Callithrix jacchus: one gene and its partner. The protein of the gene in region 1 interacts with the protein of each later gene in a biochemical or structural test. Links are inferred from orthologs where the notes say so. Each region holds a gene or a part of one and is shown in the gene's direction. Other genes may lie near its edges.

The links. The genes of interacting proteins can lie anywhere in the genome.
Region 2: the proteins of SOS1 (region 1) and ITSN1 form a complex in vitro, tested with the Homo sapiens proteins (2 studies listed by BioGRID, with this or other methods). The link is inferred for Callithrix jacchus from reciprocal best matches to the Homo sapiens genes SOS1 and ITSN1.

What each region holds. Positions count from the first base shown.
Region 1 is NC_133515.1:75,897,827-75,902,233, forward strand, and holds the start of SOS1 (son of sevenless homolog 1), read left to right. Parts: upstream 1-1,576; 5' UTR 1,577-2,012; coding exon 2,013-2,099; intron 2,100-4,407.
Region 2 is NC_133522.1:39,958,204-39,961,851, forward strand, and holds part of ITSN1 (intersectin-1), read left to right. Parts: intron 1-27; coding exon 28-149; intron 150-1,506; coding exon 1,507-1,589; intron 1,590-1,908; coding exon 1,909-1,992; intron 1,993-2,771; coding exon 2,772-2,945; intron 2,946-3,648. UniProt on the Homo sapiens protein: Adapter protein that provides a link between the endocytic membrane traffic and the actin assembly machinery. Acts as a guanine nucleotide exchange factor (GEF) for CDC42, and thereby stimulates actin nucleation mediated by WASL and the ARP2/3 complex.

The sequences.
Region 1 (4,407 bases):
TGTGTGTGTGTGTGTGCGTGTTTTGAGATGGAGTCTCATTTTGTTGCTCAGGCTGGAGTGCAGTGGCACAATCGCAGCTCACTGCCACCTCTGCCTCCTGGGTTCAAGGGATTCTCCTGCCTCAGCCTCCCAAGTAGGTGGGATTACAGGTGCTCACCACCATGCCCAGTTAATTTTTCTATTTTTAGCAAAGACAAGGTTTCACCATGTTGGCCAGGCTGGTTTCGAACTCCTGACCTCAGGTGATACACCTACCCTGTCCTCCCAAAGTGCTGGCATTATAAGGCATGAACCACCTTGCCCACTGGCCTGTATATTTTTAAAGGAAATAACTGAAGACTTTCTTTTTTTTTTTTCTTTTTCAGATTTTCACAGAGGTCCTGTAAAGATTATGAACCACTGAACATTTCTCATCTACGTGATCCTGGCTGTTGTTCTTAGGAATAGCAGGACACAATGTCAGCTTCAACCCAAGCTAGTTCCTCTAAACTGCATTCTTATCGGTGAAATGAAAATAATAGGGTTGCTATGGGGATTAAATCAGATGATACTCCAGAAGTGATCATTAATGATAAACCATGAGGTGTCTGCCACAAAGTGCCACTATTATAAACAGTGGCCTGGAGGGACAGTTTATATATACCGGTCCTTTAGCATTCCACTTTCACTGAGTGCCTGTTCTGTGTGGAGGACCTGGTGAAAAAAATCTGCCTTCCAGTTTATTATGTAGTTGAAAGAACCACAAAAGATACAAAACACTATAGACCAAATGCCCTGAGAGAGGAATAAGTGCAGTGTTCTGGGAGCTTTAGAAGAGGTCTCAGTATCCATTGGAGGAAAGTGCTTATTGGAATTCATATTTGGAGAGGGTTGAAAAGATGAACAAATGCAATCTAACACACACAGAAAATCAATACTACATGTACACATTTTATTCTTGATGACGTGGAAAGACCAGTTAAAAACACTGCGATCACTTCTATTGCCCAGCAGATACTTAGCAGTAGGTTTCGAGACAGAGCACCTGTATATTTTGTCCGGTCTGTTTACTATACATTGCGTGCTGGGCAGTCCTTATCTTTGTGTTCGGGAACAAAGTACACACGCCCCTTTCCGAAACGAAAGGCCCAGGGACTCAGAGAGGGGTAGGAGCCCTCACGGCTAGACCACACAGTGGGGGCTTCTTTACCGTAGTTCTTACCCCCTCTGCAGGCCCCACTTTGCCAGGGTTCGATTTCTCGGGCCCTTTCGCCCCTCCTCAGGAGTCCCCAGGAGCGCAACCACAGCCCGGTCAGGCGCCCTGCCTCCCTTCCCCACTCCCCCCGCCCCCAGCTTCCCTCCTCCTTCACCGGGAGCCGGAAAACCCGGAGCGAACCAGCCCAGCCCGGCAGCGCATGCTCAGTAGCGCGCAGGTTCAGTTTGCTAGTAGGAAGCTCCAGCGCTACACCGGCGGCGGCAGCGGCGGCACCTCAGGGCAGCCAGATTCCCCAACAACGACCTCGGGTCCTTCCCCTTCCCCGCGAAACCCCCTCCCCCAGCTCCGCCCCACCCGAGGGCTCTTGCGTTTCGGAGTCTCAACTGCGCGGAGCGGGCGCCGCGGCCAGAGCGTCCCTCCACACGTCCTCCCCCAGCCGCCAGCTCTGCCGCGGGGCCAGGCCGGACCCGGGAGTGCAGCCCCGGCAGGCGGCGGCGGTGTAGCGGGCCGCCCGGGGCGGCGCCGGCGGGCCAGGGAGGGGCGGGGGGGCCTGGCCCCGGGGCGGTGGTGCGGGATGCCGCCGCCTCCGGGTCGCATTCGTTCTCCACGGCTAGTACCCGTGTCGGGTGGGTGGCTGGGCGTGGGCCTCGCCCTTCAGCCCCCTCGCCAGGGCTAGCCCGGCTGCGCGGCGCCCGGAGGGGGCCGGGCCGTCCGGTGGGGCCGCGGCCCTATTCCGCGCAGCGAGCTCGCCCTCTCGCGGCTCCCCGGCCGGGCCGCCGCCGCCCCTCTCCCCGCCCAGAGGCGCCCTGGGGGCACCATGCAGGCGCAGCAGCTGCCCTACGAGTTTTTCAGCGAAGAGAACGCGCCCAAGTGGCGAGGACTGCTGGTGCCTGCCCTGAAAAAGGTGAGGAGCACGCCGGACCCCGCTTCCCGGCCGCAGCCCCCCAGCGCGGGCGCCGAGCAGGCGCAGGGGAAGGGCTGGGGAGGCGGGGCGCGCGCGCAGGGCCGTCTTTCTTCCCTGTCTCGCCGCGTCTCCGAAAGGACGGCGCACACGGGGAGGTCCCCCACACGGCTGGCTCTCAGTGTTGACATCCACCCGTAGTGTGGGAAGGCCGCGGGGAGCCGCGGGCAGTTGCTCCGAATAATCCAACCCCGAGAGGTGAATGCTTTGCCCTTTGATTCCGAGACAACGGTTGGAGAAGCCTCAGTTTTCAGTGGAGGTCAAAGCAGGCCACTTTTCCGCCTTCTCGGTCTTAGCCCGGAGCTGTTGTCAGCCTCATGTTTTAGGTGTCCAGTATGCTCGTTTTAGTGGCTTGAGAATGCCCTGGCCGTAACGCTTGCTCTAAGGAATTGCGAGCTCGCCTGCCAGCAGGAGCGTGGCCTGCTCCGCTCGTCCTCAGTAATCACTCTCTGTTCTCCTGATCTCCCCTGCTCCTCGGATTAACAGGGGCTGGTGCACATGCTACCAATTTCAGGGGTTTTGTTTTGTTTTTGCGGCATTCGAGATTCTTGGTGCTGTCATTTGGCTTGTTAAGAATTTTTAGTCTTTGTATGTTTAAGTTTGCTGTGTTTTTAAATGTTTTAGTATAATTAGGAAATGTTACATTTTTAAAGCTTCTAGAGCAACAGTGTACTAGACTATTTTTGTTTCCTTTTCTTCATTTACCTTTTCTACAAAGATTGCTTTACTCATCTAAGAGTGTTTCTAAATCTGTTTCTTGCTGCTCGAAGACTCTTTCATGTTAATTAGTTAACATATAGTTTTGCTTCTACTAAGAATGGAGATTATGTTGTACCTTTTATGCTAAGCATTAAAAGGTGTCTGATAGTGCTTAAAGGCCAGTAACTTTTACTTTCCCCTTTGCCCTGTTCTCTTGTCCCTCTTGCTATCTTACAGTGGAAACTATTTGGTTTGTTAGGAGAATTTGCTTATGTATTTCTGACTTAAGTTACTGACATTTTCCCCTTCAGGTGTCTGACTAGTCACGAACACCTATGTGATTTTTCTTTTTTTTTTTTTTAAAGAAAACCAAAAAGATGCCATATATCCTTTTCTTTTCTTTTTTAAATAAGATGGGGTTTCACCATGATGGCCAGGCTGGTCTTGAACTTCTGACCTCAGGTGATCCACCCACCTCGGCCTCCCAAAGTGCTAGGATTACAGGCGTGAGCCACTGCACCCAGCCGCCATATGTCTTATGTACTTTAATCCTTAGAAATCCCGTCAGGTTCTCACTACTTACTTTTGCTTTACCTGCAAGTTTGACTTCTTAGCGTGTAATGGAAGGGGTTTAGGAGGTCTCTGTGCTGCCAGAAGCTGATGTCCAGGTAGGGTAAGGGAAGACAGGGAAATTGTTTAAAAACCTGTAAAGGAACTCATAAAGCATTGCCAAATAGGGGCCATTTTGCTTAGAGGCAAAAACAGCTCCTATCCCGGGGGAATCACCAAGCTATCAGCTTAGGATCTTTTGAAGTAGTGGAAGAATACTGTAGGAGTTGACAGACCTTGTTTAATTCTGCCATGCTGGTGGCCCTTGCTGAAATCTGTCCCTAGAAGCATTTTGTTTGGCTGGCACAGTGTTGTTTTATTTTTAAATGTAATTAGTTGCTGGCATTTGAAAATGGGAGATATTACATAAAATCTGAATTTTCAGCTTTTCTTGAAGAATAGGAAGTTCTTGCTAGTTAGGGCCTGTATTCCAGCAAGGCACTAAACTGCTGGAGGTGAGTAAATGGTTGTCCTCTTTAGACAAGGCATGTATCTCCACCTTACCACAACCCCCACTTGTCCTCTTTGTTTATTTACGTAAACCAACTTTTGAATTTAAGGTAGAGATACTTTTGCAGTAAGTGATAGAAGAAGGTGGAAGTATACATAATCTAGCTAATGTGTAAGGTTCTTCCAATTCTTAAATAGCCAATAACTATGATTCTAAGACAAGATTGAAAATACAGTGTATTTCATATCTGGATATGTTGTCCGTAGCTCCAAACCTACATTTTTACCTGCCTGCTGGACATTTCATGTGGATATCTCCATATCTTGATTTCTTTTGATTCACTATTGAATTATTTATAGATGCATCCAACTTGTGCTCTCTTACTCTTACCTGAGGCTCTTTGGACATGCTAGTCCCCTCACCTTTCTTTGCCTGATCCAACACTACTCATCCTTCTAGACTTACTCAACCTGGACTATCACATCAGGGCTG
Region 2 (3,648 bases), on another chromosome or scaffold:
TTGTAATACCTGTGTGTTACTTTCCAGCCTATTTTTCTAAATGAGGTTCTAGTAAAATTACCCACGGATCCTTCTGGAGATGAGCCCATCTTCCACATTTCCCACATTGACCGAGTCTATACCCTCCGGGCAGAAAGCATAAATGAAAGGTAAGACCTGCCCCTCCCCAGCACTGGGCCCCGGGGCCCCCTGGCTCTGGGAGACACAAGGGGCATGTGATTAATAGCAGGTGCCAATGTTTCCCAAGCGGCAACGCCATACCTCTGGCTGGCAGTGGGGATGGGGCTGTTACTTCTTTCTACGGCCCCTCAAAAATCTGACACATGGCATGCACTTTGCAAAATAACATGGATTGAAACTAATTTTGCTTGAGTTTTGTTTTTATTTTATTTTTTTTAAGGCAGGGTCTGACTTTGTCACCCAGGCTGGAGTGCAGTGGCACAGTCACCGCTCACTGCAGCCTCAACCTCCTGGGCTCAGGTAATCCTCCCACCCTAGCCCCCCAGGTAGCATGTGCTACCAAGCCTGACTAATTTTTTGTATTTTTTTTTTTGTGTGTGTGTGTGTGGAGCTGGGGTCTCGCCATGTTGCTCAGGCTGGTCTTAAACTCCTGGGCTCAAGGGATCCACCTGCCTTGGCCTCCCAAAATGCCAAGATGCTGGAATTACAGGCATGAGCCACTGCACACAGCAGTTTCTTTTTTCTGTTTGAAACATGTAGCATTCTTTGAGGTAAACGGAGCATCTCACGTTTCCCCTGGCTTCCCAGGTGGCAGAAAGCAATAGAAAGCGATTTCGGAGTTAATAGGACCACCCAGCCCCAAACCCTTCCTCACCTGGGCTCACTTAAATAGGGCTTCTGGAACCTAGGGCTGTGGGTATTTTGCTTCAATCTGTCTTCAAGACTCTGCCCTGGAGCCAAATGAAACAGATCATTTTCTGAAGGGTGAACTTGACACAAGGCCAGCATCATTCCAAAGAGCATTTGCACCAAGCAAGAAAATTGGCTAAAGCTTTTGTGCATATGGTTCTCAGAAAAAATGAAGGAGAAAACAGCAGCCACAAATGTCTCCCTCCGGGGCATTCTGCTCTTTCATGTGAAGTGGTTCCCAATCTGGGAAGTGGCTTTTGTTCTTCCTTTGGGTGATTTCATAAACAAGATCCTTCTGGCCTGGGTTAGGCAAATATGTGCTGGCCTTTAGTAAGGAAGGAAGAGGAGTTGTGTCCTGATGTGGCCTCCAAGACGGCATCTATCACATATTTTCTTCCCCTGGAACATGAATTCAGGTCTTGAGGTCATCCATGGAAATGGCCCTCATGCCTTTACTATTGACGGCAGGAGTAAGTATTAGCATCACGTGACATAAAATCAGATTCTCTTTCCCAAGCCTTTGTTGTTAAAATCAAATGAACAAAGAAAACAGAGTCCTGGCAACAGTGTTTGAACAGACCTGAAGCCCTTTTCCTGAGTTTCTGTTTGGCAACTTTCTGTCTTTTTCTGTCCAAGGACTGCCTGGGTGCAGAAAATCAAAGCTGCTTCTGAACTCTACATAGAGACTGAGAAAAAGAAGCGCGAGAAAGCGTACCTGGGTAATGCATGGCCCTGTGGGGTGTCCCACACAGCTGGGCAGGAGGGAGGGCCATTTGGCTGGGCTGAGAATCCTCCAAATAGAAGATTCCCCTGGACCTAGAGGAGGGGCGTGAGATGGGATGAAAGAGAGCTTGGGGTGAGATGCGAACGGGGGATGGAGGGCAAATGCCAGGAGCAAGGAAGCCAGAGTTTAAGGAGAGGAGGGGAGAATTACTTTTGAGTAGGGAGAGGTCCATGACATGAATCGTGAGGCTCGCAGACATGGGAAAGGCATTGTATGTTCAAATGAAGCGTTTTGCGTTTTTCCTGCCATCATAGTCCGTTCCCAGAGGGCAACAGGCATTGGAAGGTTGATGGTGAACGTGGTCGAAGGCATTGAGCTGAAACCCTGTCGGTCACATGGTAAGGCTCTGAGGTGGTCCAGGCTCCTGCTTTAGGGTTGGAAGCTGGGTCTGCGTTCCCCACACCCCCACCCAGCTCCAAATTGAATGTGCTATTTCCATACTCCCCATCTCCTTCCCGAATTGGTTTAACTAGCACTTGTTAAAAACCTGGAGGTTTTTTGTTTTTTAAAATCCTTCCTACCGTTCTGTTTCTCCAAGGGATCTGAGTGGCGGCATTCACAGTGGCTGTGACACAGAATAAGGCCAAAGTGAGGAGACAGGAAGGGCCTAGTTTCAAAGCCCACTCAAGTAATTAATTATTTGAGCTTAGTTTAAGGATGAACCTGACTTCTGGGGGTTTTCACCTGGAGTCTCCATTGAAATCCAGGTGAAATATCTGCCACTTATTAAGCGTGGTAGTTATTAAGAGGGGTGCTGGCTGGGCGTGGTGGCTCACACCTGTAATCCCAGCACTTAGGAAGGCCAAGGCAGGCAGATCACCTGAGGCCAGGAGTTCAAGACCAGCCTGGCGAACATGGCAAAACTCTGTCTCTACTAAAAAGAAAAAGAAAACTTAGCCGGGCGTGGTGGCAGGCATCTACAATGCTAGCTATTCAGGAGGATGAGGCAGGAGAATCACTTGAGCCCAGGAGGTGGAGGCTGTGGTGAGCTGAGATCGTACCACTGCACTCCAGCCTGGGCGACAGATCAAGACTCCATCTAAAAAAAAAGAAAAAAAAGAGTGGGGATCAAAATGAGGTGTGATTTCCACCTGGTAAAGGCTTTTGTTCCCTCCAGGGAAGAGCAACCCATACTGCGAGGTGACCATGGGTTCCCAATGCCACATCACTAAGACAATCCAGGACACTCTAAACCCCAAGTGGAACTCCAACTGCCAGTTTTTCATCCGAGACCTGGAGCAGGAAGTCCTCTGCATCACTGTGTTTGAGAGGGACCAGTTTTCACCAGATGGTGAGTAGAATGCGGCCCTGAGGTGATTCCTTCTTCCCTGGTGCTAGTTTGTGTGGGTTCATGTTTTCTTACCTGGGGACTTGGTGCCAGGATTCCTGGGGTTTCCCTCCCAAGAGATGAGGCTGGCTGGCACAAGACGAGGCTCCGTCTCCCCTGGAGGTGTCTTCTGGAGGCGTTTCATCACATGTGGACAGAGCATGCTTGGTCTAGAACTGTGCCAGCTGCCCTGGGCAAACACTACCATCTTCTGCTTTCTAAAGCAAGTGACTCTGGAGACGGGTGTATTTAAGAGCCTCAGCATAGTTCTTCAGTCCTTGGCAAAAAAGCTGTGCTGGCAATGTTTGAAACTGGCTAATGGAACAAGAATGTTAGCCCACAGCAGTAGCCTCAGAATCGGCCAGGTCCCTTTGGGTGGCATTTCTGTGGCAGTTAAGTAGGCAAACGGATGCAGTCGTGTTGGATGAATCATTTCTTCAACCAGCCTTCTCTTTCTGCTTGGGCTGGGAAAAGAATAGTCTTGGCCCCATGATTCCAAGAAACTACCTGTCTCTCCCTCAACCCAATAAAAATCACCACTGGGCATGGTGGTACAGGCCTGGAATCCCAACACTTTGGGAGACTGAGGCAGGAGGATCGCTTGAGCCCAGGAGTCTAAGACCAGCCTGGGCAACATAATGGGACCTTGTCTCTACAAAAAATACAA